2 linked regions of the Lonchura striata genome follow. The protein of the gene in region 1 binds, or shares a complex with, the protein of each later gene. Links are inferred from orthologs where the notes say so. Each region holds a gene or a part of one and is shown in the gene's direction. Other genes may lie near its edges. The genes, in order: PIGQ and DPM2.

What was found.
Region 2: PIGQ (region 1) and DPM2 share a complex: the UniProt entries of both Homo sapiens proteins name them as parts of the glycosylphosphatidylinositol-N-acetylglucosaminyltransferase (GPI-GnT) complex. The link is inferred for Lonchura striata from reciprocal best matches to the Homo sapiens genes PIGQ and DPM2.

Annotation. Positions count from the first base shown.
Region 1 is NC_134618.1:2,695,289-2,711,574, reverse strand, and holds the start of PIGQ (phosphatidylinositol N-acetylglucosaminyltransferase subunit Q), read left to right. Parts: upstream 1-8,823; 5' UTR 8,824-8,912; intron 8,913-9,018; exon of another isoform or gene 9,019-9,023; intron 9,024-12,267; 5' UTR 12,268-12,293; coding exon 12,294-12,958; intron 12,959-16,286. UniProt on the Homo sapiens protein: Part of the glycosylphosphatidylinositol-N-acetylglucosaminyltransferase (GPI-GnT) complex that catalyzes the transfer of N-acetylglucosamine from UDP-N-acetylglucosamine to phosphatidylinositol and participates in the first step of GPI biosynthesis.
Region 2 is NC_134624.1:738,251-754,053, reverse strand, and holds DPM2 (dolichol phosphate-mannose biosynthesis regulatory protein), read left to right. Parts: upstream 1-12,109; 5' UTR 12,110-12,175; coding exon 12,176-12,178; intron 12,179-12,556; coding exon 12,557-12,646; intron 12,647-13,707; coding exon 13,708-13,810; intron 13,811-14,095; coding exon 14,096-14,154; 3' UTR 14,155-14,941; downstream 14,942-15,803. Other genes in the region: EEIG1 (early estrogen-induced gene 1 protein), read left to right, coding at 1,675-1,826, 2,960-3,064, 3,313-3,502, 3,691-3,812, 4,906-4,975, 5,834-5,879. UniProt on the Homo sapiens protein: Regulates the biosynthesis of dolichol phosphate-mannose. Regulatory subunit of the dolichol-phosphate mannose (DPM) synthase complex; essential for the ER localization and stable expression of DPM1.

The DNA of each region.
Region 1 (16,286 bases):
GGTGAGATCCTGGCTGCTGCTGCTGCTGTTTGATCAGCTCCTGCCTCCCTACCCACTTCCCTGCCTGGAAGGGGCCCGTGCCTGCTGCGACTGGGGCAGCACAGGAGATGCCAAGTGGTGCCAATGTTCCCCACAGCTGCTGCAATGCAGGAGAAGATGCTGAGGGTCAAATGGTTGAGAGAGAAGGAGCAAACATTCCTGCAAGGCAGAAGCTTCCTGAAGACCCAGGAGCACCTGCACAGCTGGGTGCTGTGTCTGGGCAGCCCTGGATTCCCCATCCCAGGCAGCGGCTGCTGCAAAACCAAAACACACACATCATTTTCCCACATCCAGGGCTCAGGGAGTAAAAGCACTCAGCCACTGTTATTTCCTCCCTGATTCTAGGTGCAGGGTACCCAAGGATGTTTATGGTTTGTGGTTTGGGTGGAAAGTGGGAACAGAAAGTGGAAGTGCAAGTGCTTCCTTGCTCACCTGTTGACAATGGCCACAAGCCTGTGACACACCAGCAATGCCAGCCTGCAGCCTTCCTCTCCAGAGGAAGAGCCGGAGCAATCCCTCATGGAAGACCAATTGGCTCGGTATCATCCATAAGGAAATGCTTCCAGCACATCGCTTTGCTTCAGTAATAACCATGTCCCTGGGATTCTACAGGGCTCCTGGACATCCAGAGCCCTCTTCAGTGGGCTGAACATGGAGCTGTGTTTGCAGAAAGCTTTTGTTTGGTTCCCATCTCCTGCATGGCTTTGGGATGCCATTCTTTGCCAGTACAGGAGGATGTTTCTCTTTCCTCCCACCACCCTTTCAGACCAGGTGGAGAGGCCAGGATGGGGTGGAGGGAGACATCCTGGGACCTACCCAGCTCCCATGGCCCTGGGACAGACTTGTGCTCTGGCTGGGTGGAGAAGGGGGTGGCAGCAATGCAGAGGCTGCCACCAGGACAGGGATTCATCCACAGGGCTGCTCCTGGCATGAGCGGGGTTTTGTGGCAGTGCCCCACTGTGCTTCACAGCTTTTGGCCCTTCCCAGCAGTCTTAACAGGGAGCTTGATGTCCCAAAGAGGATTAACTCCCTAATCCTCTTTGTGAGCCTTGTGAGCAAGGGAGGTTGCAGAGGAGGAGGGAGAAAGGAGAAGCTGAGGTGTCAGCTGAGCCTTTATCAGACTCTGAGGAATCTTTTCCATTGGTTAGCTAACCAGCAGCAGCAATTCTGGGGTGTCCATGCTGGTCAGAGGATAGGGCCAGGTCAGTTTTAGGGGCCAGAGTAGTTACAGCTCTTTGTTTTTTTGGAGGGATTTCTGTGATGCCTGAAGAGGAGCTGAATTCTTGCTCTCACCTCCATGGAACCAAGTTTAGGAAGCCCCAGCCCAGTCTCAGTCTACGTGAGGGATCAGATTCCAAGAGATGTATCCCGCAGCGTCCCCAAGTCCCTGCATGTTCCCATCTGGACACTGCAAGCATTCCGTGAACAGTGCGGGGCGTGCAGCCAGGACAGAGGCTCTGCTCAGGCTGGGGATCGTGTTTTCTGTGTCTAGATGTGCAGCAGATGCTCCAGCTTCCCACGGGAACCTCTTGCACAGTGCTGGGATCCGGCTTTGCCTTGCACAGTGCTGGGATCCGGCTTTGCCTTGCACACACACGGACACAGAGGGTGCGCTCCCGCTGCTGGATGAGCCGTGCCATCAGTCCGGCTGTTCGGACAGCCGGGGCCGCCTGGTGTCCGCACAAAGCAATGACCAGCCCGTGTCCAGCCCGTGTCCAGCCCGCTCCCTCATCGTCCCTTCAAAACTTCAGTCCCAGCAAACCTCCACAGCCCCCGGCCGCAACCTTCCTGTGCTGACAGGGTGTGGAGCAGGCTGGGGACTGCTGGCATCCTCAGGGCTGGAGGGCTCTGGTGTCCAGCAGGGAGGTTTTGCTTTCTCCACAAGTGACACTGGACTGACACTGTGGACTTTCAAGTCCCCCCACACTCTCACCAGTCACAGGGCTGTGCTCTAGGTGGGGAAATATTCTCAGTGGATGGGTTTGGGTTATTTTCCCACAAATCTGTGACTTGGTAGCAATGACCTTGACTAGTCCTGTGGGATATCCCGTTGGCTCCCTGCACACTTGTAGTGTGCCAAACAGGCACCGTGCCTGTCTCCCTGGGCACAGGGACTGGCAGGGAGCCAGGGCTTGTGTGTTCCTTGTGGACACACAACCAAGAGCTGCTGCCCCTGCACCAGGGGAGGAAAAGCCACGAGAGGTGAAGTTTGGCACTTATACCTGCAAGGAATGTGCTCCAGGAAAACCTGAACTGAACACGACCTCTCTTTCCCTTGGTCCGTCTCTGGCAGCAGCAGGCTGACCATGCCCATGTCCTTGACTCCTGCAGCTCCCAGTGCTGGCATGGGCAAGGGCTGTGCCAGGGCTCTGCCATGACACAGACCTCTCCTGGGGTCCGGGGTGGCTTCTGAACTAGTTGTGACAGAACCCGGTCCTGGAAAGGTGAACGGGAGCCCCAGGGCCAGGCTGTGTTTGTTTATCCTGGTGATGGAGCACACAACAGCAAAACAAAAGGTCAGACCCTGTTGCCCTGGGAGATGGTTTTTGAAGCTGCCTCCCGTCCTGCTGGGGCTCAGATGGAGCGGCCCCAGCGCTTGTCATGTCAAGTTAGTTTTGTAATTTTGGCTGGTAATAGGTCTGAGGCAGGCAGTGTGAGCTTCAGGGGTAAATTGATCCAGGACCAGAAGGGCCCTAAACACCTGCTGAGAAGAGCACCCAGCCCTGAGACTTTGGAGGCAGATCCCCATCTCACAACTCCTGCAACCAGACAGACCCAACCTGCTTCCTTAGTCCTCAGGGAGGCCCATGCAGCTCCTCCAAGCATCCCAAAACGTGGCTGAGTCTGACCAAAACTTCACTCACGTTTAGCCCGTCTGAATAATGAACAGACACAAACTTCTTCACGACTTGGCCGAGTTTAAGGTGGGTGTTTGATCTCACTGTGGGCAAAGGTGGGGAGGGGACTCTCAGAAAGCACTCTCAGGAATCACTGCCAGGGAGGGAGGGCAGGCTCTGAGCAGCCCCTTGTAGGCTGCTCCTTGCTAACTCTGCTTTTACTCCTGACCCTCTTTGTTGGGGCAGAACTAATACCACCATCAACTCCAAGCATGGTTGTGTGCAGTTGTGGAAAGCCTGGGTTGAGCAGTGTGGAGATGGGAAAAGGGGGCTGTTCCAGCAGTCCTGGCTGATCTGCCTCTTCTAGAGATGCTTCTCCATCACTGCCCCTCAAAGCCTGAGATGGCAAAATTCACCAGTCTCTTTTTTGTAATTTGGGAAACTGAGGCACACAGCGGCACTGTCCCCATGGAGGCAGTGGTGAAGCCATGAGGAGCCCTGATTCACCTTGTGAGCATCCCTATCCCACCCCAGCAGCTGCCAAGGGTGAGGAGCAGCAAATCAGCCCTTTTGCCTCTACATAAAAGCCCCAAATCCCCCGGGCAGCTGGGTACCTCCCTCTGGCAGGAGCAGGCAGGTGGGACACAGACTGATCCTGGGAGAAAGGCACCTTGTCTCTGGGCAGGAGACCAGCAGGCAGAAAAGCCACGTGGAACAGCCCTTGTCTTGCTGCTTCTGGTTGTCAGCACAAGGAGTTCTTGTGTTTACCCAGACTTCAGGGCAATTGCCCGTCACTAACAACACAAAATCCCTTGGTCCCGCTGCCCTGAGCCCAGCGAGGGAGCAGGACAGAGCTGGTGGGAGGCCAGCACTGCCAGGGAAGGACAGGCAGCCCCCAGGACAGCAGGACTAAGGTACAGGATCTGTGCTGCTAAGCTTGTATCCACAGGTGGTTGGCCTGAGCTGTATAGGGGACAGTGTCAGAGCCCTCTTCTTGGGTTTGGACCCCAAAGTAGCTCAAACTAGGCTCAGGACACACCATCAAGGGTCTGATGGCAGCTTTGGGTGTCCAGTGCCCAGGAAGAGAGGTGGATGCTCCTGAGGAGGGGTGTGTGGCAGATGGCACATCATCTCCCCAGCAGTGACTCAGTTTCCCCATCTGTAAAATCCAGCTTCTTGGATTGAGGACTTTGTCCAGCTCTGAAGGAGGACCCTGACAAGCAGTCCTGTGATATGGAGGGCTTGTTTCCACCAAGCAGATCTCTGCTGCTGGCATAACCAGCACAGGGTAGAAAAAGCTGTTCCCAGGCTCCAAGACAGCAGAATTGGATTTCCATCTGTATTCTCTCATCCCTGCCATTGCGTATTTGCATTTGGTAACTCTGCAATTATTCAGGGATGGCTTTTAGATAGTTGAAGTATTTGCACATGAGAAGGACCATTGGTCACCGTACGCCCTAGCTTTCTTCAGCTGTGGTCTGGGGAAATGCCACTTTTGTAAGCAGCATAAGGCACATGATCCCGGCAATCATAGGACGTGGGGTAATAAAAGTGGAGTGATGGCTTGCAAACAACTCAAAACAGTCAAGTGTGCCATTATAATTTTAATTATAATCACATTTAAAGCAAAGTAAAACTATGCCTCTCCAGGAGCTTTAATGAGGTCATATGTCTCTTAACATTTCACTTGTCAGCTCCTGGCTGTGTGCTGTAAGCCATGCTCCAGCCATGCCTGGGGATAACATAGCAAAGCTGGGCTTCCATCACTGCCTAGTTTTAAGACTGAGGAAAAGTGTGCAAAAGAAAAATTTGGGTTCTCTTGTCTGAAAAAAATGGTGAAGATTGAATGCATGTTTCAGAGCAGAATCTCCCCTTTTCTTCCTGAAAAGTTGTTGGCTACTTCAGAAATTACTTGATCAGCAGGTACTAATCTCTGCTCTCTGTGACAGGGACAGGACCCAGGGAATGGTTGGAGCTGTGTCAGGAGAGGTTTAGGCTGGATATCAGGAAAGGTTCTTCCTCCATAACACGCTGGTTACGCCTTGTGTCTCCAGAAGCAGGAGGTTCTTCCTTCAGGTTCTTCCTCCAGAATGCTGGGCACTGCACAGGCTCCCCAGGGAATGGGCACCGCCCCAAGGCTGCCAGAGCTCCAGGAGAGTTTGGACAATGATCTCAGGGATGCCCAGGGTGGGATTGTTGGTGTGTCTGTGCAGGGCCAGGAGCTGGACTGGATGATCCTGACGTGTCCCTTCCCACTGAGGATATTCTGTGATTCTGTGAAGCTATTTGGATGGGAAAGGGGCTGCCTGGAGCAAAGACATGCCCTGGCCACGTTTGACATCTGACATGTGGGAGTCGGGGAATGATCACCCTGAGTGACTCAAGTGTTATCATGGATTGAGCTTGGTTTGGAGAGATGAGGCTCACACAAAATAGGGGTAACAAGTGTTAAAGACCTGAAAGAAGTCATTATCTCAGGAACTGGGGAGTCTGAGGTCCCATTCAATAAGTTCACACACAGGGCTCACCTTTACACATAAATCTTCAGGCCATATCTGACACCAGTTGAGCTGTTGGAGCTGTTGGACCTTTTTGGGTTGTTCCTCCAGGTGTAGGTCCAGTTTGCTGACCCTTTAATTTCTATGCCATGGTCCTTGTTTGTCTTTATTTTATAATTAGCTGGCAATAAAGTGACGTGGTCTCTCTGGCATGAAGTGAATCCAGAATAGCACCAACACCTTGACCCTGGGTAGATAGCAAGCACCATAGCATGGCCTCAGAGATGGCAGCAGGCAGGGACAGTCATGGTCCTAACTGCTTCCCCCAAACAGGGACAAGAGATTTGTCATGGACTACACGCTGGAGACCAGCCAGCTAAAGCAGAAGCTTCTGAAAACAATCTACAGCCTCCAGGTGAAGTCATTTACCACACTGCAGTCAGCCAGCCCAGTGCTGCACAGCCAGAGTGGCATGGGCATGGTGACCCAGCACCAGGTCCACCAGCTGGCAGATAAGGCCAAAAGCCTGTGCAGAGATCTGGACAACATCAAGAACCTCCTCCACTATTGCCAGGATGACTTGGTCCGGCAGATTCCCAACCCCACCGGCAGCCGCTACGGGGGTGTCAGTGGAATCCATTGCTCCCTGGATGGCTCCATCTACGTGACAGCTGAGAGTGCTCCCTGGGTCCACGTGCTCAGCAGCACAGGCCACACACTGCAGTCCTTGCCCTGCCAACAATCAGGCAAGGGAGGCAGCATTTTCTTGCCGGAAGATGTGACTGTGACTAGGATGGGAATGGTGGCTGTAGCTGACATGGTGAATGAAGCCATCTGGGTCTTCAACCCTTACACCAACCTCTCCAAGAGGGAATGGATAAAGGTCAGGAAGGTTGGCTCCCCCAGGGGTATTGGAGTAGATTCCATGGGCAAGATCCTGATAGCAGATTATGCACAAGGTCAAGTGCACAGCTTTGCTCTGGACCATACCTTCAGGACACTCAATGTGCACTCTGTCCCAAATCTGCAGGGACCTCGCTACATCAGTCCAGTGCCCGGTGGAGGCTTTGTGGTGAGTGAAGAGTGTGGAGATGTCAAGGTCTTCATGAGCAGCTGTAAGCTCCTCTGCTCTCTCAGCAGCAAATATGGACACCAGTTTGGCAACCCTGCTGGGGTCTGCGTGGATACGGATGGCAGCATCCTGGTGGCAGACGAGCAGCGCCGTACAGTCCACTTATTCCCAGAGCATGGAGCTCCCATCTGCCTGGTGTCCACGGGGCTGCGGAGGCCTGCTGGCATGGCTTGCTCCTCCTCTGGGCACCTCTTTGTGGCAGACACAGTGGAGAACTGTGTCAAAGTCTTTAAGTACTGTGTGAGACCCCGGTACAGACCCACCAATGCTGGGACATCACGTGCTGACCCCAACCAAACACACAGGTGGGGAGGGGGGATGGTTTCCCTGCAGCCCCACTGAGCTGTGCATCTGCTGGGGTGCTGAGAGCTCCACTGCTCTCAAAGATTCCTGTAATGGAATCATGGAATGGTTTGGGTTGGGAGGGACTGTAAAGACCATTTCATGGCAGGGACACCTTCCACTATACCAGGTTGCTTCAAACCCTATCCAACCTGGCCTTGGACATTTCTAGGGATGGGACATTGCCCCAGACCTGACTGCCTAAAGGCCCCCAGCTTCTCTAGGACTAGACCAGCTCTGGACCCACCAGAGTGTGTAAAGGATGACCCAGCAACTCAAGAGTTGGCCTTGCACTGGTGCCTTGGCAAACTTGTTATCACAACATCCTTGGTTCCTTGAGTGTTTTCCAAAGCTGATATAAATATTTCTCCTCTCTCCATGTGATTTTGATGTGCCATGGTCCCATCTTCCTGATGCCAGACCATGACCAGAGAGGCAAGGCCATGCTAGAAGTCCATGCTCGCTCACAGAATCATGGAATCACACAATGGTTGGGATTGCGTCCTTAAAGATCACCTAGATCTACACCCTGCCATGACTAGGGACACCTTTCACTAGATCATGCTTCTCCAAGCCCTGTCCAGCCTGGCATGATTGAGCCAACTGGTCTGTCCTAATTCATTCCCAGGCTATTAGGGTGGGTTTTGCAATCAGAGAACAGCACACTGGGTCTGCAGCAGACGTCAGGAAAAGGGTAAGATGAAGGTAACTCCTTCTGTGCTGCATTCCTGACCTCTACAGGGAAGCAACAACCACTACACGGAGTAAATTCCATATGGAATCGTGGAACTCCTCAGACTACCTCACATCCTGGGGCAGACACCATCCTGTTGTCCTCTGGAGAGGAGGGCTCAGCACGTCTTGCTGCCTTTATCAGCAAGGGCCAGGGGAAGGTGGGCAGGGTGTGCCGGCACAGGGATGGGCGTTTTCCTCTCCCTGCTCCAGCCCTCGGTGTGGGCACGGAGCTTAATGACTTCTCTGTCTCTAATGGTGTCCCACACCCAAGTCACCGTCTCTGATCCCAAATGATCCCTGGAGAGGGCCTTGCTCCCTCCTGGCTCTGGAACAGGCACTGGACACAACAGACACCCTGTGAGGTTCTCCAGAACCCCTCTCCCCGCAGCGTGAGGCAAGCAGCAGGGACTGGGGCTGCATGGTCTGCAGAAACAGGGGGATCAGCCTCTCCCATTGCAGGAAGCTGAGCTCCCTCCCACAAGACTTAATCTCCCCTATCTTATTTCCAATTCTGTGGCATCCAACAATAAAACTAAACCCCAAAATCTTTTATGTAGCCCACCCCGACTTCTGCACCTGCTCTCTCTTTCCATGTGGGACCTCTTCATGCTGCCTAGCATCTTCCCAGGCTCACTGGCCCAAGCCCACGGCCGGATCACAGGACAAAGTTCTTGGGCACCCGTGGGCACCCATGGGTCTCTGCTGGGCCAGACATCCACTGAGGCAGTCAAGATGGGGGTCAAGAGGGTCCCATCAGCACAGCCGAGTCCCTCACCAGTGGGATGGGGGACAACGGGGTTCCCTGAGGAACAGTGAGTCCTTGGACTTTGGGGATGAGGAACAACGGGGTCCCACATGGAAAGGTGCCTGGCCTGTGGGATGAGCGACAGCAGGGTCCTGTGAGAACAGCGGGGCCGCTCGATTTTGGGAACAGAGGACAGCGGAGTCCTGTGAGCACAGGTGAGCCCCTGGCCTGTGGGGATGGGGCCAGCAGCATCCCGTGAGCACAGCGGGGCCCTGGCCCCGCTCCAGCTGGGGCGGTGGCAGGGCAGGGGGGCACTACCGCTCCTTATCGCGCGGCTCAGGCGGCCCCGCCGCCCTCGGGCCCGCGGGAAGGCGCCGGGTGGAGCCCGGGGAGCGGCGCCGGCGGGAGCGGGGCCGGCGGGGCCCGACAGGCCGGGAGCGGGGAGCCGCGGCACCACGGAACGCGGGCGGCGGGTGGCGGTGCCGGCCGGGCCCGTCCGGCTGCACGACCCGGCGGCAGCGGCGTCTCCGGGCAACCGCGGGCGGAAGCGGCGGAGCGGAGCGGGCGGCGGGAGCGGGGCGGCGGTAGGAGCGGGCGGGCGGTAGGAGCGGGCGGCGGGAGCGGGCGGCAGGAACGGGCGGCGGGAGCGGGGCGGGCGGCGGGAGGAGCGGGGCGGCGGTAGGAGCGGGGCGGCGGTAGGAGCGGGCGGTAGGAACGGGCGGCGGGAGCGGGGCGGGCGGCGGGAGCGGGCGGCAGGGGCGGGCGGTAGGAACGGGCGGCGGGAGCGGGCGGGCGGCGGTAGGAGCGGGCGGGCGGCAGGGGCGGGCGGCGGGAGCGGGGCGGGCGGTGGGAGCGGGCGGGCGGCGGGAGCGGGCGGCAGGAACGGGCGGGCGGTAGGAGCGGGTGGCAGGAGCGGGCGGGCCGGGCTGGGCCGCGCGCGGAGCCTGCGCGGGCACCGGGAGCCCCCGCCGGGCCGGGTCAGCACCGGGCCCCTCACGATACTGAGCGGCTGGAGCGTGTCCAGGGAAGGGAACAGAGCTGAGGAAGGGGCTGGAGCACCAGGAGGGGCTGAGGGAGCTGGGGGTCTCAGCCTGGGGAAAAGGAGGCTCAGGGGGACCCTGTGGCTCTGCACAACTCCCTGCTGCCATCTCTGAGGCCATGCTATGGTCTCTGCTCCCAGGGGAAATGGCTTTAAGTTGTGCCAGGAGAGGTTTAATTTATATATAGATAGAATAGATGGGGAAATTTCTTCGCGTAAAGCATGCTCAGGCACTGTCACAGGCTCATGGAATGCCTGGCCTGGAAGTGTTCAAAAAGCCGTGTGCATGTGGCACTTGAGGGCATGGTTTAGTGGTGGTGGTGGTGCTGGGGAATGACTGACTGGACTTGGTGGTCATAGAGGGCTTTTCAACCTTTACAATTCCACGGTTCTATGATTCTTTATATCCTGGCCCTAACCCCCCTGCAAGGATCATGGGATGCTCAGGTGTGGGTCTGCTATGGGATCTGTCCCCCTTGGCACCCCTTGGCCACAGGACACTCTCTGGGGTGAAACCATGGACACATCCCACCATTCACCTTCGCTTTTCTAACAAAAACTCTGGAATCCATCAGTCTTAGGGCCCTGTATTCATTTGTTGGTTGTATTAACACATTTTAGGTGGTGTTTATTTTGTTTGTTTTGGTTACCTGAGGTCATTGCATTGGTGCTCTCAAGGAAAGGTGGATGTTTTCACAAGAAATAGGTGGATCTCAAAGATTTTAGGCACTTGATGAAGAGGGACTGCATGAGCATTGGTAAGATTTTTCTGTTAAAATTAGCAGCAGTGAAGCAGACTGTGATGACATTTGACATTTCAGTCTATTGAAATGAATGAGGTAGATGCATGACAAGTCATGGATTTGGGAATATGAGAACATTAACATAACAATAGTTGATCAGCCAGGTTTTCAACTATCAAGATATTTTGTGCAGCCTGAAAGTCATATCAGAATCTTCTCTGCCATGCCTCAAGCAGCCAAAGGGCAGATCATTTGACCCAAGCTATAGCCAGAGTAGTTGGGTGCACAAAACTATGTTAATTTTAGAAGCTGGGGAAGGTGTAAGAGGAAAAACGCACAAACTAGAGAAGATAAGGATGTCAAGTGTTTCTGCTCCATGAGAAGTTTTCCCAGAGGATTGTGGCTATCTTTAAAAACAATCTCAGTGAAAAATAAGTGTGTGTATGAAGAGTCAGTTGACAGTTCCTTTCTAAAATGTCCAGTGGATGGACAGACCTTTAAGGACAGTCATGCATAGACACTGAGAGTCTCTTGTAGCAATACTCACAACAACTCTCTTTGTTTCGATGGGAAAAACATCATGGGACTGTCTTTGATATTTTTCCTTGGACTGAATTTTCCCTTTTACTGCAAAACTGCAAAGTACATCCCAAGACTTCCCTCTCCTGAGGAATTTGTTGGCAGTATGGTGCTGGAAGCACAGTGTTTACAGGTTCTGAATGCACCCAGCATTGGCCCTCACTGCTCCAGAGATCCTCCAACCCCCAGCAAGATCTAGAGGCCACAGAGGGACTTAATTTTCCCTCTGTGACCAGAGGGATAACCTCAGAGACCTGGAGTCTGTGAGGAAGCAGGATCTCAGAAGAGCCATAGATCATAGAATGGTTTGACATAGAAAGGACCTTACAGACCATTTAGTCCCATTCCTGCCATGGGCAGGGACCTTCCACTGTCCCAGGTTGCTCCAAGCCCCATCCAACCTGGCCTTGGACACTGCCAGGGATGGGGAGTCCACAACTCCCCAGATTACCCCACTGTGGGTGATTAACCCCAGAGGTTAATCACTCCCTATAACTGCTCCTCCATCCCTCCGAGTAGGAAGTTCCCAGGCGCTGAGCTTTACTGGCTCAGCTGTCCTCTCCTAAGGGAGAGGAAAAAGCCACCAGGCCCTTCCCTCTGCGCATGGTCTCTCTGTGTTGTAAATACCCTCTGTGTTCCCTTTCCAACTGACTGGTCCCTTGCAGAGGAGCAGCCTCGGGGCCCTGTGGAGTTTCACATCCCTAACAAAGCGCTGAAGGACGGGAAAGGACAGGAAAGGACAGCGGGCGCCGGATGCTGCCTGTTCTGCGCCAGCGCCCTCCTTACTGCAATTATATTCCTGTTAGAAACCTCCACCTTATTTAAAGAGACACTGTCAACTGCCTCAAAGCTCCTTTCTGGAAAAGTCTCCCAAGGCCACTGAGATGTGTTCTTAATGATGGGGAGAAAAGCACTAAGGATAAAGAGCGCTGATAAAGTTCTCATCTTTTAGGCTGTTGAATCTAATGAATTAAAACTACTTCAATTAATCACTATAGTCTCTTCTGACAAAATTTTTGTCTCAGTTTCCTGATAAGAGGAGTGAGGCAGGAGGAGCTGAGTGATGGGATCAAGGTGGCTCTGTGAGTTTGCTGCAGAGATCTGGGTTGTAAGGTGGTAAAGGAGACCGAATAGCATGAACTGGTGTTTGATTGTTGATAGCAGCAGGAAATACTCCCCAGAGGCACCACAGTGAGCTATGATGTAGTCCCTTCTCTAGGAGGTGCTCCAGCACATCCAGCATGGGATTCAAGATCTTAGGCTAGGTGAATGCCAGATCTTGGCTGGTCTGATGGGCTGTGCTTATCTGGATACCACCATGAAAGACCTTTCCGGGACTGGAAGAAGGGCTTTACTGGGAAACTCCAGGCTCACCTTCCCTCACTTCAAAGACTGCAGATCATTAGGAGCTTCCTGAATGTGTGTATGTGTGTTGGCTGTCACTAATGTCATTACTCAAGTGGTTGGGCTTTGTGTTTTCAAACACGCTTAGTTCTCCTCTCTGGTGGCTTTGGCCGGCTCAGATTTTCCTTATGTTTACTCACCATCCTCAAGTTTAATTTTTGTGTTTATTGGCAGGTGTATGTCCCTGCAGGGTCACTGCCATGGTACTGAAGGTGTTCTTTCCATCGTGCTGCTCCTCAGCAGACAGCGGCATTTTGATCGGCCGCTGGATCTCCGAGCAGAACTCTGCTGTCATCCTTGCTGTGGTACACTTCCCCTTTATTCCTGTCCAGGTGAAGCAGTACCTTGGGGAAGTTCAGCGCATGACTAAAGTCAGTGTTTCTGTGCTTGGCTCATGGAGCAATAGCAAACAGGAGAAAGAAGAGAGTCTCAGTGAGTTCTTGGAAGACCTTGGGACCATATTCTGCCATGAGCCATGGATCCAGATAAGCAAAGAGGGAGACAGCAAATTCTGGAGCTGTTCTATCCTTCAGAAACACTCTAAGAACCCTCAGGAGGAAGAAATCATCTTGGTATACTATGACCAGCGCAAGGTGATGCTTTCCCATCTGCACCCCCCTTTGGACACAGCTGGCCAGAGGGCAGAAGATGCCTCAAAGCTCTCGGCCATCTTTGACACGGTGGCCAGGAGCCAGGTCCTCTTCATGACAGACAGGTACGACGAGGGACCCATCAAGCTGACCCACTGGCAGTCGGATGGGGTGGAGGCCAGTATCATTGTGGAGCTGCTGAAGCAGGCCTCGGTGCCTGCCTGCATGCTGCTGACATTCCTGCTTTCACTGCTCTCTGGGATCTGCAGGAGCAGGTAGGTGATATGACATCACCCAGCTTGTTTTGTCTGGAAATGTAATTCCCGTTTAGGCATTGCAGGACTACTGCTCAACCCCAGTGAGAAATGTGATACAAAATTGTTCTATTGGAAACAGGCTGCTGCAAGAGGTTCTGTTAGAGCTCCACTCCAGCAGGAAATCACAAGGCCAAAGGCTCCCTCAGAACTCTTCATGGAGCTGGGAGGTTTTCTGGGGAGGCATTCATGTCCTCCTCATTTGCAGCAGGGATAGTTCAGCTCTGCTTCAGTTTCATCACAGCTGAAACAGTGGATTTCCAGCTTTTCTGTGGCTGACATGAGGCTCTCTTTAATGGCTCCATAGCTGGGGACTCCCTCCTCCCCATTTGCTGTAAGTCCCTTTGCAACTGTGGAACATCAGCAAATACTGTTTCTAAATCCATCCTCTCTCCAAGAGACTGTGGTGCTGCAGCCTTGGCACTTTACAGAAGTTTAGAGGTATTGCTGCTCAGCCTGAATCTATGGTGAAATCCTGTTCTCACAACTGTGAGCCTGGATAGATGCTCCAAATGTAACACGTGGCAAATGCTTGGACTGAAAGCTAGTTCTGAGCAGATTTGCTGGGAAGAAACTTATAATCATGGAATCATTTACCTTGAAAAGGCCCTCTAAGATCATCGAGTCCAACCATTAACCCAGCACTGCCAATACCACCACTAACCCATGTTTCCAAGTGCCACATGTTTTTTGAATACTTGCAGGGATGGTGATTCCACCACTGCAGCTGCCTGGAGAGGTTGTGACAGAGAGTGGAGTTCTGGTTCTAAGCTGCAAGGGGACACTGTAATTGATGAAATTTTGATAACAGCTGTTACTGTATTAATGGATAAATCTTTTTAAGTACAACCTAAAGGAATGGAGGTATTTAACAGATTTCCAATTGTGTGATACAGTTGTAAAAGAATTACAGTGAAACTCTTCCCATGCAAAGATTTTCTGAGCAGTTTGGTTACACAGTGTGGTACACAAAGGAAAAAATGTCCAGTTTTGGATTATTGGAAGAGATTGAGATTCAAACCTGATATCATCAAGGACCCCTGTGTCCTGGGACTGCTCTGTAGGTACTGTGTATTAGTGGTTCTTAATGAATGGTAGTTAAGTCACAACTTTGTGGTTGGGCAGAAGATTTGGAATCAGCTCCAAGGGTCCTTTTTCTGTCTGTGTGCCACCACCATCAGACAGGATGATCCTTTTCTGCACAGGCACTTGGTCTCACTTGGTCCCACCTCAATTGGTGCCAGGATTCAGGCCAGGCTTGGAGTTAGGTTAAGCCCAGGCCTTGCTGGCATCCAGTCACAGTCTGCAGTCTAAACATAAGTTGGGAGCTCAAGCTCAGCTGGTGGGTTGGGCCCAGATAGTTGCTACCAAGCTTCTCAGGAATTCTGACTTCAGCTTTTCCTAGGGCCAGGATACATGTTTTGAGGTAGAGCAGCAGCCAGGTGTACCTGGCAGCAGGCAGAATGCAAGGCTTGCTGTGCATAAACCTACACTGAGCCTGTCCTTAGCCTTGGGAGGCAGAGCTTTCTCTCTCCTTTGTTTTACTCACCCACAGTATCAACTTTATATTTACTTGTCTCATATGTGTTTTAAAACATCAGTCTTGGATAACAGAGTACCTGGCTTTATTACAAGTCTCCTTCTTGACCTTCTAAGTTCTTTCAAGGAATTTGGTTCCATTTTGTACCACATGATGTTTAGTACAACCTCCTTGATGTCAACATGTTCGAGGCAGGGAGGGTTCAAGACGTCATGTGCAGGTGTCCTTCCAGTCCCTTCCTTCCCATGTTGGGACAGGACATTCCATAAAATAAGATTCACAGGGGTTTTATTTCTCCTTCAGGTCACAGGACTTCTTTCTTTCTGTTTTTTGTGATGTTAAGGGATAGTCAGCTTTGGAAGGCTAAAGAAAGAAATCAGCAATGTCTTCTCAGGCTGGGGAGGCTTGGGCATTTTTGGATATGCCCCTGTTGTGTTTGTGTATTTGCATGAGAGAAGCAGGGCAGCAGTGTTGGAAATCTCAGGGAGTCGCTGCCATCCCTCCAAGCTCATCCCGTGTTCCCAAGTCCTGCACATCCTGAATTAAGGCATTTCTTCAGCACCACCGTGTGCTAAGGGATGGCCATTGCGATTCTGCTTCAGAGGAACATGGGGGCAGCATTCCATTATCCCTGAAGATCTCTGCAATTGAGGACATTCGGATGTTTTAGTTTTAAGGCAAAAAATTCCATGTGCTTGTTTAAAAAAAAATCTGTTTGTAAGCACCTCCAATTCCTCATCCAAAAGGAGGCACTGCTCCTGCAGTTTCTAGCACACGGAGGAGTTTTGGTTAATGGACCTTAATATTTGCATGTGATCCAGATTCGGAAAGATTGCTTTTCATCTGGTATCTGAAAATTCCCCTCTCACCCTTGGGAAAAAACTGAATTGGAAAATCAAGACTTACTCATGGAGGCTATGTTAATTTATTGCTAAAATTCCATATATTTGGAAATACCCCAAAGATCTCCTGCTACTTAAATAATGCAATGACACAATGTCACTGGATTTTTGTTGAGTTTTTTTATCTGGTTGGTTTTCCATTGAAGTTCTGAAAATGGTTCTATATACTGTGTTGTAAACAAGTGGGAGTATTTCTAGCAATGCACAGTCAATGTGCAAAGGGGTAGGAGACCACGCAAGGAATATTTTTTTGCTTTCTTCCTCAGTCCTCACAGAGAGGAGAGTTCCCATAGCACATCTTGCAGCTGCTCTATTGAGCTTCTTGCAGTATGTTTGTATTTTTATTTCAACAAGTATGTGTATGTATTTCCAAAGAAAGTATGTGAGTGGAATAGAGGCTGTGCTTGTGGTGGTGACTGAAAAGAGAAGCACAGACAAGGACATCCATGTGATATGTTTTTGGCCCCATGGTGTCCAGTTGAGGAGCTGAACCATTGCAAGCTGCACAATTGTGTGGTGCTCTGGGGATGAGGCTGCTTTGGGAATCATTCCCACTTGTGCAAGACATTCCTCAGGCAGAAAACAGCAGCCTGTCCTTTTCTTGGCCAGGAGTGGCAAACTTGGGGTGACCCAGAGACTGGCTGCCTCCAGCTTGAGGAGCAGCCATGGATGGCGAGAGACACCCACTGCTGAGAGAGGATGAGATTATCACCCAGTGAGTGTGTAGTGTAGCACAGGGCCCCAGAGCTGCTGCTTTCTGCCTGAGCTGACAGGATCTGGCAGCTGGTGTTTGACCCATAATTCTTCACCTTCAGCCATCTGTACATAATTCCACAGGTAGAGCGTT
Region 2 (15,803 bases), on another chromosome or scaffold:
GTATAAATTAGCTCGAATTCTTGTTAAAAATGCTGCATAGTTTTTGGTAGGTTTGTTTTGTGAGTGGCTTTTCATAGTGCTGCAGTATTTTCTGACACTTCTGAACGTAAGATCAGTGTCATCTGATTCTGAAGAATTTCTGCTTCAGGAGAAAGTGTAATAAAGAAGATTTGAGTATCTTAAACACTAACTTTATAGGAGTAACAGATGTTTTAAATCTAGGATACTATGATGTCTGGTAATAATGTCTGACAAAAATACCTGTTGCTTCTTTGCAATGGAAGCAAGTCCCACTGTTAGAATGCCTGAAAATTACACAGAATAGGATATAAATATCCATTTAATGTATGTAGATTCAGTCTGAAAGTCAAATCTAATTTTCTTGAAGGATTTTTGCAGTCATTCCCACTTTTCCCTTTTATGTTGATGATGTGCAAATATCTAAAAATAGAAACTTTGCATGTGGAATAGTCCTTGATCAGTAGAGCTTCTGGTAAATGACACTCATTAGAGGGTTAGGCAGGAATTAAACTGTGCTGGGAAATCACTTCCAAGCACTGATTTTTTTGCAGCACTCCATGAACCTTCTCCTCCTGGAGTTGGAAGGGGCAGAGCAGCTGAGCTGACAGACCAAAGGGCTGCTCCCACAGCTGCTGCAGGAACAGTTTGCTTGCTTAAGGTTGTAAAAGCCTTAAAAACCTGTGAAGCAAAGTCCCCAAAGCACCTGGGTGCATGCAAATCAATGATAAGGTGATTAGGGAGGGTTTTTTCCTGGTGAAGGCATGCTGTGAGTTTCCTGAAAGCTTTATAGCCATTCAGCTGCCCACATTAAATATTCTGTCTTCCAAAATACTGCAGAGATCCCCTCTCATGTAACATCTTCCCTCAGAGCTTTGAGTGAGACAAAATATTTTCTCACTCCTCACTTAAAATCCATAATATGATCCTTTAGTTCCAGTTCAGACTTCAGGCTACAGAGAGGTTAGAGCTCCAACAGGAATATTCACTTTGCCACGCTGCACATGCTGTGGCTTCCACCCAAAAGCACTTCTGGAGGAAGGGAGGGAGCTCCAGGCACTCACAGTTCTGCCCTGCAGTCAGCATTTACAAAGGGATGTTGCAGGCTCACGGAATAACCAGAAAAATAATTCTGACAGCTGGAAAAACACTTCAGTTTCACTGAAAAGGAGTTTAATAGTCAGTTAAAAAAGGGAAAGGTTATTTGATTGCTGTAAAAGTGGTCTCATAGGGGGACAGGTTTGCTGGGATAAAAGGTTTAATTTTGGCCAAGGAGGTGTAGGAGAAAGGAAGCTGGACAGCAGCAAACTAGTTCCTGTTTGTGAAGCCAGGTGGCCAGTGGACACGTGTTGGGGGTGAAAGGGCAGTTCTGGATGGTGTCCTGGAAGACAGTGCAAGTTCTCAGCTTGTTGTCCTGTGTAAATGAATGAATGGCCTCTTTTTGCCTTAATTTACCTCAAAAACTTGCTTTTTCTTGTAATGCAATCCAAGGTAGGGAAGACACCAGTCTTGCATGTAGGAAAACAAAACCCAACATCCCGTTTGAGCTGCTGGTCAGAGGGCTGCCAGCTTCCCCCTGCTGAGAAGGGTGGGATGGACAGAATGATGCCTGCTCCCTGCCTGGCAGTCTGTAACCTCCTTCCCTTCTGATTCCAGGCCTCCTTCCACTGCCAAATCCATCACCATCCCGGGGCAGGACTCTACTCTGCAGCTGACCTGCAAGGGCGAGGGAACCACCAGCAGCAGCAGCTCCTCCACAATTGGCTCCCTGCGCCAGGCCAAGCCAAGAACTGCCATTCTCAGCTCAGGTCTGAATGCCCAGCCTGGAGCCATGCAATGTGTGGCTGTGCCTGGACACTCCTTTGTTTTTCCCAGCAGTTGCAAGCACAGAAACTTTAATTTTGCATATTTTCCCACACCCATCCTCAACCCCATGGCTCATTCAGAATATTGAGAGTAACCAAGCCATCTAAGTGGGAAGAGGAAGGTTGACTATTTGCCACATGCATATTTCTGTTACTGGGGATAATTTGTTCTTTTTGCTGGGGATTTAATAATTCATGCACTGCTCATCCCTGCTTTCCATTGTGTTCAATGACACTTGCCATTGTTCTGCACTCAGCTATTCTGTTGCTCCGACTTATCTTCTAGAGAAGTTCCTCTGAAGGTTTTAGAGGTTGGTTTAAGGTCTAGTGGCCTTGTTCCAGCTGCTGATGCAGTTCTTTGGCTGCTGTATGAGCCTGTTTTCAAGGGCACTGCATTTTCACATCAGTTTTTGTCCTTCCCAGCATATTCCAAATGTGCAGGCAGATACACTGCACCAAAATAGCACTTGAGTCTCATCCCCTCAGTTGACAGAGCACGTGGTGCAAGTGATGTTCTTAAAAAGCTGGCTAATGTGCTACGTTGATGCCATTTATGTGCTTCTGGATAAGCTTCCTGCTTATCCAGAGAGACAAGCAGGACTAGCAAAGGAGCAGGGGTTATGCTGAAGGGTGGGTATCAAATTCAGAGATTATTTAAGTGGTACAGGCTCTCTCACAAGTAATAGGAAGGGTAAGATGGTAACAGAAGCACCCAAACAGAGGCTGAAATACTTTACTGCCAATGGCCATCTGATGCTTACTTGGTCTTAGTTTGATGCTTTTACCTATGGATAGTTTCAGACTCTACTTGTCCTCCTAGATGCTACCAGGCCCCAGAGATGTTTGTAAGTTCACGTGCTGGATAGAAATAGTGATAAACTTGACAGAGCTCACTGTGGTCTTTTCTACTCCCTGGGTGTTTCTAATCCCTGTGCTGGCCTGTACAGCAGGGCTCTGGCCAGTAGACTGTCCTTTCCTTGATCTGTCATTCCAAGATCAGTCTTCACTCCCAGCTGATCAGTGCACCATGTGCTGGCTTGGTTATGGTGTAAACAGTGTCCTCTTTTCCTTGGCAGGTGTCCCAGAAGAGTCAGATCAGAACCTGTCCAGCCCAGAGGAAGTTTTCCACTCGGGGCACTCGCGGAACTCGAGCTATGCCAGCCAGCAGTCCAAGATCTCTGGTAACCACTGATCCACACAGCTCTGCCATCTTTTTCCTTCCTGCAACCCCTGTGAGAGTGATTTTCAGCCATCTCTCTCGCCTGCTCTGTAATACCAGCCTCCTGTTCAGTCCCTGCACATGAGCCCATAGATGTTTAACCCTCTGTGTGCAGGAGCAGAAGTGCTGCTGTGAAGCTCCCTGCCCGTTACCTGTGCTGCCAGGAGTGGGAGCAGCAGCAGCTGAGGTTTGTGATCCTTGTGTTGGCAGGTTACAGCACGGAGCACTCCCGCTCCTCCAGCATGTCCGACCTGACCCACCGCCGGAACACGTCCACCAGCAGCAGTGCCTCGGGGGGACTCAGCATGACCGTGGAGTATCCTGAGGGGGAGAGGGAACACAAACTGGAGAAGCCACCTCGGCCCCCCAGACCGCCCCTCCTGCTGGACAGACCCTCCCGGTGAGTAACAGTGGAGCAAAGACCTTTCTCTGGGAAGGAGAGATAGAACCTGCTCCTTTGTCTTCAGGCAGCAGTGGATCAGATCGTGGCCACTGCAGAGGAGACTGTGGCCAAGAAAAGCAGGACAGTATGTAGAAGCCTGTGTCTTGAAAAGCTGAGTAAGTTTTTCCTGGATTTCCTCTTGCCAGGAGAAAAAAGGATTCAATGGAGAGTCACCCAACCCGAGTGGATGACACCAGGATCGATGCTGATGATATAGTGGAGAAAATAATGCAGAGTCAGGACTTCACAGATGTCAGCAATACTGAAGGTGAGAGGAGAAGCCTCAGAGGGGATGTCTGGGTTGTTCCTCTTGCAAGGCTGCCAAGCGTTTACAGTCAGATCTGATCTGCCATGGGCTCCCTTCTCCTTTTGACAGCTATTTGCTTTCAGTGCTTGCTGGGTGTTTCTGTGGTTGATAAACCACGTGAGTTTGTGAGCTGCACATGTATGTACAGATAGCACTTGCTGCTGCTCCACACATGACAGCAGAGATTGAATAGTAGCTCAAACATGCAGGGAGAGAGAGGAAAAATACTGATTCTCAGCACAGTGGAGATCAGTTGCATCAGCTGTCTGCACTGCTCTAGTGGCCTTCATCCAGGGTCAGGCCAAGGGTATTTATCAAACAAGGAGAGCACAACTGGAGGGGAAGCAGCACATCTCCACAGAAACATGGGTTACCATGTGCTGGTGATCAGGTCTGTCGGAGAGCTTAAGAAGGGGTTTCCTCCATTGCAGTCACATGTAACTGCTTTTGTTTTCAGTTTCATTTTCCAGTTTAGCATATAAATTAACCTTTAATCTGATTTTTTTTTTATCTGAGGTTTTCTGTTAAGTTTTAAACTTGAGCCTAGCTTGTTATCTGTGCTTCATTAATTTACCATTAGTCACCTTAAATTGTTGCACATGGAAGCACACTTACCCTGTGGGGAGTTATACCTCACTCAGTGTGGGTTAGAACTAGACTGGATGCAGCTGCTTCTCACCAGCAGAACAGGCTGAGTTTCTCCTCCAGTGACTCTACCAAAGCAGTGTGAGACCCCACATCTTATCTGTTCAGATGTGTATAAGCTGACCAAGAACTTGGAATTGGATAAAAGAGGAATTGCCTTAAAAGAGGCAGTATGACTGAATTAATATCTCTGCCTTTATTCGTCCAAAGCTGCATGTTGTGGAGGCTCCCCTTTGGAGCAAGGGAAGGAGTTCCCAGGGGCTCAATGACTGTGGGAACACCACCAGAAAGTGTGGATGTGCTCTGCTGAGACACACTTGTTCTATGCTGATGGTGTGTCTGGGAGGGGAGTTCCTGGCAGCCTCAGTAGTTCTGGATTTTGATGTCTGTCTTCCTCTTCTATCTGCAGACAGTAACCTGAGGTTGTTTGTGAGCAGAGACGGAACAACCACGCTGAGCGGTATTCAGCTGGGAAACAGGTAGGTTTCCCAAAAGGCTGGCAGACAGAGGGGCTCCAGAGAGATGAGTGGGCTCTGTACCTAGAAAACTTCCACTTTTTGCTACAGGAGACATCATGTGCTACATATGGTGGCTTTATTCCCACATTAACAACCCTGGGATCCCTTTGGTGGCAGGCTGCAGTTGCACTAGAGTATGAATGCTGTGCTCAGCAGGAGCTCAGGGGGATAATGGGATCCTGGTTGCTAGATCCGGGAACAGAATCCTTTAGAAGTGAGGAATTAAAGGACAAAATGGTAGAGGCTGTTTCCCGTTTGTTCCAGAAGGAGGGAGCTTTGCCTCCTGCTGGCCTGCAGCAAAGCTGCACCAGAGCAGTCCAAAATATCAAAAATGTCCCTTCTCCCTGCCGCCTCTTGCTGTCCCTTCTCCCTGCCACTTCCATAATCATCGAGGGCTTGTTCTCTCAAGCCTTCTGAAGCAATAAAACTTTTTCTTACCACTGTAGCTCTTAGTACAGCTCTTGGCCAGTTGTGTTTGAGGCTTTGCTGCATCGTTCAGTTCAATTAAAAGGAGCAGTAATGGTAATGCAAAGATGTATCAAAACTGGGAGCACAGCAAAGCTCTGCACACTGGCTTTGTTCTGGATAGGATACTCCCCCTTTGTTGTGTCACACCCAGCTCTCTCCTGTGCTCTCTTGCTGACTCGCCACCTCTTTGTCCCCTCAGTATTCCAAGGACTGACTTCCTGCAAGGCTAGCTCATTACTGGCAGTGCTGAGTGGGCTTAGAAGATGTTTGAGTGGAGAGCTCTGAATCAGAGCTTGGTTGCTAAAATGACTGTGAAAAATAACCGGCCCCTTTCCCCCTCTGCCTCCCCAGGGTCTCATCTGGAGTTTACGAGCCAGTGGTGATTGAAACCCACTAAATGTGAAGAACAGGGTAGAGCTGCTGGACACAGGCCCCCTACCCAGTCCGCTGCCACATGGATGCCAACCTTTACCTCTCTTCATGCAGCATTCCAGAAGGGATTTCTCCATGCCCCTCCCCGTATGTTTGCACTGCAGAAGTACTCCGAGACCACTCCAGAACATGCACTTTCCCTGCATTGGCATTGTCCTTCTCTGCTTCCTGGTCGTTCCAGTGCATGCCTTCCCCCTGTTCCTGCTCAGACACAAGCTGTCTGTGGGACTTATCCTTGGGCTAGTCCCAGAGGATGTTGCTCATCTGCATCCCTCATTCCACCCATTCACTTGCAGCAGGGGACTTCTCAGTTTCTGTCTCCCCAAAGCATTGGGTTATACCACTGTGAACTCTTCAAACCACTGGGGGTGGGGGAAACCATTCTAACCAAACCGAGAGCTGCTTGTTGGGGACATGGTGACATGGCCACTTGCAGGATGCTTTATTCCATTGACTCTGCAAGGGAACATCACCTCCCAAGGCAATGGTTTTACTGAACAAGGTATGCTGTGGTGTACACTTCACCTTCCTATCCTCACATCCCCAAACAACATCTTCTCATAGGAAATACTTCCCAAAAGTGCATTTCAGAAAACTCTACCGCAATCCAGCTGGGAGTTAGTGAACGGTTAAATGTGAGTGCTCGTCACACCACTGACTGCAGCAGCCCTTCCACTGCTGGGCATGGAAGGGGGTGTTCATCAACTAGAATGAGCAGGAGCACTTTAGAGGTTGTAGATTTTACCTGGAGGAGGCTTCTACTCACTATTCCAGGAGTATAATCTGTGTTTGCTGGACTGATTCAGCAAATAGTCCTGTTGGAGCTTGGAATATAAAGCCTCTTTCCTTTTTTTTCTTTTTTTTTTTCCCCTTGTTTCATTGGCTCAGGAAGGGAACTGCCCTTCTTGGACTGTGAAAAGAATCTCATCTGACAACCCTTTGCTAAGCCAGAGCTGGATGCAGTTGACTGCAGTGGTCTCTCTATTGTGGTGGTGATGTCAATTGCCTCTCTTGACCTGGGCTAGTAAGGGATTTGGTGTTGGCTTTTTTGTCTTGTCAGCAGAGATCTGTGTCTGTGCTAGTTCCTTCTGGGGCTGGGGAGAAGCTACTGTCTCTGCCTTCAAGGGTAGAAGGGGTGTTTGCTGCTGCATTAGCCACAGCAGCTGTTCTGACCTGCTCTGTGGTGAGTGAACTCTTCTGACAAGGCTTCAAACTGTTCTGTGTTTGATCTTTCAATTGCTCTTCTTTGGGTTTGGTTTCTGCAGTTGTTTGACACTTTTCCTTGCAGTGTGTGGCAGCGATGTCGATCCCTTTCAGCTCCCACTTGGAGATTTCTCCTGCCAGCGAGGATCTGGGCAGCCCCCAGCTGTGGGCCAGCAGCAGGCTGTGCTTGCAGCCCTCCCTGTACAGAGCCCCTGAGCTGATAAGCTATTTCTGTGTAGTGCCCATTCCTCTTTTGCCAGTGTTCTGTGGTAGCACTCGGCAGCCGTGCCCTCGGAGCAGTTCCACACTCAGGACCTGGCTCCCCTCTGGCACTTGTGTGTGTGTGTACAGGCACACACTCGTTCTGTTCAGCAAGGAGTGACTTGTAACTGATCACATTGTTCAAATTCTTAGTTATTGTAAAGCCTCTTTTAAAGGAGGGGGAAAAAAAAAGCATTAACTGTGGTCTCTTTGGCCAGAATGCATGCAGATGAGCTACTGGAAAAGGGAATCTGACAGAATGAGAAACAAGGAATGAAAGGGCCTTGATTCAGCTTTTTTTTTTTTTTTTTTTTTTACCCTTCTAGCTAAGGATGCTGCATGGGGAGGGTGCTCAGCAGTGTGGTAAAACTATACAGTTGCTTACTCTGTTTTGATGGTTTCTCTCTTTGAGTCAAGAGGTTTCTTTCTGTGTTTGGACAGACCACATATAGGATATGCATCTTTTCCACCCTTTCCCTTCAAAGGGAATTAAATTTGAATTAGGGTAAAAAGGGGATGCAGACAACACCTTGGTTTGGTTTAATGTAGGAAAAAAGTGTTGGATTTTTTGAGACTGTCAAGAACAAAAGCTCTTTCACACTTGCTAGGTTTTTTTTAATGGTGATCTCTTCTTCATTCAGCCTGGGTAGGTTTGGCACTCACTTGCAGGCTGCTGAGCATCCTGCCCTGTTCCTGGGGTGCCACATGTCTGCAGGAAGGAGAGAACTGCTTGTCTTTCTCTCTCCCTGGGGCAGTGCCAGGCAGCCAGGCCTGGCCTGACCGTCTGCTCAGGTCAGGGCGAGGGCAGAGGAGGCTCGGACAGCAGTGGCTGCTCTGCCCTCTCTGTGGATGGCCGTGCAGAGCCAAGGCTCTGGCTGCTCCCCAGGGGCCAACAAAGGTCCTCGGGAAATCAGATCCAACCAAGACTTGAAAGGAGCAAGCATAAGCCAGGAAAGAGGCTGTAACCCAGCTCATTTTGCTGCTTTGCCTCTGTTCCCATGAGAAACAATGGCAGTCACTGTCAGAGCAGTTGGGATCCCAGGGCCTTCTTCTGGCCTCCATTAGCAAGAGTTGGCTGCTCTGAGGCACTGGCAGCTCGGCACGTCACGAAATCAGTGGGACAGAGGGAGGAATATCTTCCCAGCAAAGCAAGAGGAGAAGCAGTTGAGCTTTTGAGAGCACTGGTCTCTTCTTCCCAGGTTGGCAGAGGCACAACCTGCTCCAACACATCACTGTGGCCAACCTGGGCACGTCTTTGGCTTCTCTTCCAGTGGCTTGGCACATCACTACTTGCATTTCTGATAACTGTGTCTCATAGGGTATTTCTTCCTTGTCTCCACGTTAGTCCCTCCACAGATTCTGGTCTTTGTGTGGCTTTTTAGCTCTCCTGCCCCTGGTTTTGAGTGAGTAAGTAGTCCTAGTCATCCAGCCTTGTGCAGCACAGCTGGGGGACCTGGAGCAGACATGGAGGGAGGAAGGAGCAGTCTGTTCCTATTTGTAGATCCCATGCAGAGCTCCTGCTGTGCATCCAGCACAAGCAGTGCCCAGCAGTCCCCAGGCAGCCATGGGCACCTGAGGTGGTGGCTGTGGGGTCACTGGTCCTACACACTCCCTGCTGCCTCAGGAAGCTGCATCTCACGAGCACTTTTTTCCTTGTGGCATCATTGCTGCCTGTTCCTTGTTGGACTTAGAACATTTAAGAAGTGAATCAGTCTCCAGACCCAAACCGCTGGCTAGTTTCCTTTGGGTTTTTCTTTTTTGTTGTGAAGTTTATGGAATTTTTTTTTATACAAATCCAGCAGGCTGGTTTTTTTTTGACTGCATTAATTGTTTCATTGATATTTTATTTCAGGGGGGCTTAGAGGGGAATGTTCTTCCCCACATTGTTCCCCTCCTCAGGGGATTCAGAGGTGGCTTAAACAAGCAAAAGGACCTTATTGGCAAGACTCTGCATCCCCTGGGTCTCTGATGCTGACGAGCAGGGCTGCTCACGCCTGGCTGGCCCTGGAGAGCAGAGCTGGCTCTCTGCTTCAATCTCAGGATCAGGCAAAACATGTGGGCTCTGCTTCTGGTTTCTCAACCTTTAGTTGGTGGAAGCACATTGCAAAGCGTTAGGAAATTCAGTGTAACTTTTTTACTAACTTCTTTTCTTTTTTTAAAACCAATATAAAACTGAGTGTCCAGAAGAATAGGCTTAGTTGTTACTTGGTGAAGGAGGTGGATTTCAGTTGGAAATTGTGATGGGAAAAGGGAGGAGAAGGATGTTGCTCCCTCATCATCATCTTTTGTATGGTCAGCACTTTAAATGGGGGCCTCGTGCTGTTCTGACCCTTGGAGTGATGGGCAGCAGGCGTGTGATTTCTCCCCCCCTTGTTGCCACATCACTTTGCCCCCTGCAGAAAGGTTAACAAGCCCTTTTAAACGTTTGCTTCAGTTTTTAGAGGGTTCCAAACCAGGTGGAGGCCCGAAGAAATAGTATTTCATTCTCATCTAAATAGGAGGGGTTGACTTTTTATTTATTTTGTCGTTGCTGTTTCTTTTTAAGCAGGTGGCAGTGCAGCTGGTCTCTGCACTGCTGCTGGGAACCTCTGGGAAAACCTCACTCCAGGTACGCTAGAGCACCACAGTTAAACCCCTCCTGGTGAGGGGCTCCCCCTCCCCTCCTCGCTGCCTTACCCGGGGGCTGCAGACCCCCTCCACCCCCCTGCCCCTCCCTGCTGCCCCACCTGGTCTCTAGCCGAGTTCTTGCTCTGGTGACCGAGCCCTTTGGACAAGGCCGGTCCCCAGGGACAAGTTCCTACAAACTCTGCCTGGTCGCAGGTGTTTGTCCTTGAAAAGCCACTTCCTCGCTGCGGGGAGGGATTGATGGAAGCAAAATTCCCTCCTGAGAGCTGTGTCCATCAGCCCCCTCCCTGCGCCCTCCCATCCCGCTGCCCCGCCGGGAGGCAGCGAGCGTGGAAACCCCAGGAAATGAATGGGAAAGGAAAAGGAATTGGGGTGAAGCTCTGAGCAAGGGATGTGGCTGAGCCTGGTAACTTGCCTCAAACACGTGGAATAACAGTAGAGCCCATATTTTTGTGGGGGGAGGGAGGGGAAGGGGAGATCATGTTTTATTTTCTTGAAAGTGAATTGAGCTTGGTGACCTTTGGCTGAGGCGCACTCGATTTGTATCAGATTCTATAGAGAGATGGCTGATATTTTTGGAAAGGGAATGGGTCTATGCAAACTTCCAAAATTGCTTGAAAGATAGTTTAACTTTTTTTTACTTTCAAAATCTAAAGATAAATCTAACTTTTGTCTTAAAGCAGAAGTGCGTTTAGAAAGAGAAGCTACTTCCACTGCTCTATTTTGATGATGATTCTTGGAAAGTTTGGGCTGGAGGGAATGACTATTTTTCACCATTTCTATCTTGCTCCTCTAGTTTTTTTGTTTCTTTTTCTAACGGAATGCTGTGCCGTCTTTGATTCAACAGATCGTGTTTGTATTTTCTGTATCTGGTTCCTAATGTAGAGAAATAACATATATGAGGAAATCAGTATAATGTCAAATGTTGTTATGGTTTGGGGGAAAAATAAAGGTTTTTTGGTACTTCACACTGATTCTTCTTGCTCTGTTTCTTGTTTTAAATGCTGTGGGGTGAGAAGGGCTTGCTCGGACCTAGAACAGTTTGGCTTTGCTTTCTCGGCTTGCTCTGGCAGCAGGGAGCAGAGATCCCTGCCAGCCCTTCCCTGGAGATGGAGGGCAGCTGGCAGCACAGCACCAGTCCCATGGAAGCAGCAATCCAGGGAAAAGGGGACACCTGCCTGAGTTGGCAGCAGTGTCCTGTGTTCTGTCCCAGCCTGGGCTCTGCCTAAACTGCCTCTCCTACTGGGCCTACCTCACCAGGCTTGCCTGGGGGATTGGACCCACAGCCCAGCAGGGCTCCAAGGAATAAATATCTCATGCCTGAGTAGCCCCTCGGCCAGCACAGGCTCACCACCTCCTTAATGGAGAGGGAGGCACAATCAGTGCCCAGACACCCAATGCTGATGGCTGACAGGGCTCGAGGGGAACAGGAGCCCTGAGAGGAAGCAGCCTTTGCCTTTTCCACCTTCCCAGAGCTTTGGCCACACAAAGGTCAGTGCACCTCTGAGTCCCAAGCATGGTCTTCCCTTTTCCCTTGTTTCAGGAAGGGGAGGCAGCCAATTCTATGATTCTGTCGTTTGTGCCTGTCCCTTGGCTGTTTGGTTCAGCTTGTTCCTTTCCTCCCGCTGCCCCCGGGTGCGTTTGGAGGCACGGCTGGGGCGTGGGACGTCAGTGTCCCGGGGACTAGAGCCGGTGTCGGGATCCATCCCCACCACAGGGGCCGGGCACAGGTGCGCGATGCAACCAGAGAACGGCGCTCGCACGGAAAGGCAGCGGCACTGGAGCACAGGAGCGCCGAGCGGGGCAAGGACCGCAGCCCTGCGGGAGAGATACGGACGGCAGCGGCGCTGCTCTCCGCGCTGAGCGGGCCGGGCCCGCGCCCGAACCCGGCCCGGCCCGTTCCCGCCGCTCTCTCTGCTCCGTTCCCGCTCCGTTCCCGCCCCGTTCCCGCCGCTCTCTCTGCTCCGTTCCCGCTCCGTTCCCGCCCCGTTCCCGCCGCTCTCTCCGAGCGTTTCGCGGCTCCGGGAGGTGACGGGGCTGGGGGCGGGGCCTCGCGCGCGCCCCGCCCACCGCCGCTGCCGATTGGCCGCTCCCGGGGCGGGGTTGGCGGGCCGCTCGCTGATTGGTGGCCGCGCCGGAAAGGCGGGGCCGGCGGGCGGCGGCGGCGGCGCCATGGTGAGTGCGGGCCCGGCCCGGAGCGGCGCGGGAGGGAGGGAGGGGGGCAGGCTGGGTCCGTCGGTCCCTGCTCGGCACCGGGGGCTTGGGCTGAACCGCGGCCCGGAGCCCTCGCGAGGCTCCCGCCTCTGCGGAGAGAGCGGCCCGGCCGCCTCCCGGGAGCGGCCCTTGGGGTGCGGTGTTACCTGGCCGGGGGAGCTCCCGCGGCCCGGCCCGGCCCGGCACGGCACGGCACGGCCGCCCGCGCTGGCGCATCCGCCGCGGTCTCCTCCCCGCGGTGCCCTGCCCCTTTGCCCGGTCGCGGCAGCAGCCGCAGGTGCCCTGAGGCGCTCCGGCACAGGCGCTGCCGGGGATCCCGCGCTGCCTCTCCCTTTGCAGGCCACAGCGACGGACCAGCTGGTTGGGTTCGGCTTGGTCGCCTTCAGCCTCGTCCTCTTCGTTTACTACACCCTCTGGATCATCGTACTGGTACGGCTTCCTCTGGCCAATGTAATCCCAGTCACGCCATACTCAAGTGTTTCCCCGGCCTTTGTTCAGGTGATGATGTGTCTGTGTGCCCGAAGGGCTCTTGCCTTTGGGTTAAAAATTTCAGGGCAGGTCTTCCTCTGTGCGCTGGCACTGTCCTTATCCCATCTGGGTGTTCCTGGCCTTGCCTGGGCAGCACCAAACATTGATCGTGGTGCCCACCTGCTGTTCCAAGATGGGCTGATGAGCCAGGGCTGGATGAGCCATTGGGAAGAGCTGAAGCCTGGCCCTGATGGAGGTGTAGTCATCAATGTTCACATTTGCATCCCCCAGATTCCTGGTTCTGGTGGGAGATGACAGAGGAAAACATAGAAAGAGACAAATCTTACCAAATGTGTAAGGGAAGAGAAGAGTTTAGGGAATGCAGGGCTCTGGGAAAGTGATTGTGAGGCTGCCCAGTTCTGGAGACACATCAGCTGAGGTCATTAGTGATTTTCTCCCTGGAAAGAACCTTCTCCCCATGAGCTTTCCAGGTGTGAGAGGCCAGGTTCAGTCTGAACTCCCAGCAGCTTCCCCTCCAACTCCAAGCGATTTGAATTCCCCTTTTGTATCTGCTCGCTCTGCTGCCCCGTCCATATCTGTGCTCCCGGCATTCCCAGAGCTGCAGGAGCATTGGCTGCTGTTGGGAATCCTCACAGTGCTCCCTAGCGTCCAGAGCCTTCCACTGGCCTCTGCAGGGCGATCCTGCTGGGATAACCACGGAGCAGAGCCGGTGGCAGCTGCTCCTTTCTGCAGGGACAGAGGGATTTGCTGTATTGTGCACCAGCAGCTCTGCCCACCCCGAGCCCCCGGGGCTGTGGGACCCTGTGCCAGCCCCATAGCCCCCCCCCCATTATCCACTGAACACCAAAACCTTCATTTTGTCTCTGTGGCTGAGCCACCTGCAGCTCTGGGCACCCTTTTTTAGCCATCTCACAGCAGGTATTTCCATGTTTCTCCCAAAACCTCGAGGCTGCACTCGAGGTGTTGTGCCCACCTGTTGACACCCCTCTGTGTCCCTGCAGCCCTTCATCGACAGTGACCATGGGATCCACCAGTATTTCCTGCCTCGGGAATATGCAGTTATCATCCCTGTGGCAGCCGGGCTCCTGCTGCTGCTATTTATAGGTGAGAGTTATTGCTGTGGTTCTAATTAGAAACTTCTAAATTAGGAAGAGAGAAGAGGGTTGCTACTGGTTTAGCTAACGTGTGACACTTACACTCTCTGTGGTTACTGTTGCAGCTTCGCCTGGCACAGGGACTTGGGGCTGCTTGTGATTTTTGGCTGTTTGAGCCTCTGGACAGCAGAATTGTCTTTCTCTCTCTGCTGAGATTCCGTTTCTCATTGCCAGGTGTTGTAGAAGGGCCTGGAATTAAGTTTCCTACCTCAATTGGTTCTCTCTCTCTTGGCAGGTGTTTTTATAATGTTTGTCATGTGGAAGAGCAGGAAACATGCCAAGAAATCAGACTGAAGGCCTGGCTGAGGAGATGAAGAGGTGCCCACGCTGCAGCATCATAGCCAGGAAAAGACTTTTCCTGCAGCTCCAGGCAGACATCTCCAAGGTGCCCAGCACTGAGCTGCTCCCACGTTCCCTCCTGCAGAGACTAAACCTGTAGTTTACAATTCACTGACCAAAGAGAAGCAGGATTCATCCAAGGCTCATCAAGCGAGGGACCAGAGCCCCTGCTGAGGGACCTGCTCCCCAGCTGGGGCTGCCCTGCCCACTCTGGGCACTCCTTCCCCTCAGCTCTGGCTCAGCCCAGTAGTTGTTCCTTCTGGGAATTTTATTTAAAAGTTTACCTACAGTTTGTGGGATTTTTTTCATTCTAGTATGAAAGGAGAGAAATGAGACTTTGGGCTTGCTAAGGACAGGTTTTCCTTCTCCATTTGCTTCTGGAAAGACTAATCACAGTGCTGGGGGCTCTTGCCCTTCTGAAGAGGGACTCCCATGAGGCTGGGTATGCAGAGGGAGCAGGGACAGTGCTGCCCCATGTCCCACCCAGCTGAGGGGGTGGCGAGGAATTGTCCTGGATCACAGGGAAGTGCTGGGTGTGGTTCCCATCACAGCTCTCAGTCCTGGCTGGATTCCTGCCCTGGACGAGGCTCCATGTGCCAGCCAGGCTGGGGCTGAGCAGGCAGGTGTGGAGGCAGTGTCCTGTCCCCGGGGTTTTTCCTCTCCTGGCAGCAGCTGCTGCCCTGGCAGCTCCCCTGGAGCACAGCAAGCAGCATCACCCTCAATAAACGTCTGTAAGTCTCGCTCCCTGTCCTCTGCCCATGCCACAGGGTGCCACAAGCCTGCCAGGGTGGGTTCAGCTGCATGGCCTGGGCAGTGCATGACATCCTGCTGAAAAGGTCCTGCTGGTGAGGTCAGGCAGGGAAGCACCAGAGACAACCTGGCCAGACTTTGTGCTGCCTCTGCCATTCTTGGGGATGCTGTACCCTGCCTGGGGAGGGCAGATTTAGGGCACTCTAACCCTTCATGCATGTACTGTGAATTTCCTGCCAGCAGCATGCCCCACAGCCTCCCATCCTGCCTGGGGTGATGCTGGTGGCTTGAGAACACCCCGAGGGCCACAGCTGAGCCTGGCTGCAGGAGCCAGCAGAGGGTCCAGAGGTGAGGCTCTGGCTGCAGGTTTGTTTCCAGCTCTTGCAGAGGCTGCCAGGACATGCTGAGCTGTCAAATTCCCTGCTGCTCACCTGCTGGCCGGGGCTCAGCCCACCCTACAAGGGTGGTTCTGGGCTGGGGCAGAAGGAATCAGAGGGTGGAAGAATTCAGTGGTGACTGAGCAGCTGCCGGTGTGACCGCCCCCTCCAGCCTTGCTTCCTGTGCAGGAGCCCAGTGGTGTCCCTGTCATTTCCTCTCCGTTTTCAGGCCTGTTCGGGACAGTGTGGGGGATTGGTTTCAAGGTTACATCTCATGTTTCTTAATCTCCAGTGGGAGAAATCCAGTGCCCCCCCTGCCCCGGGCCAGCGGGCAGCTCGCTCTGGGGACACTTCCCATGGGTGCTCCGGCTTGGCCCTGGCAGGACGGGCTGCAGGTGATGGGGGCAGCCCCTGGGGCCATTGGATGGGGTCTGGGGTGCCAGGGTGTCCCCTGCCCTGGTCCCGGTCCTGAGCCGT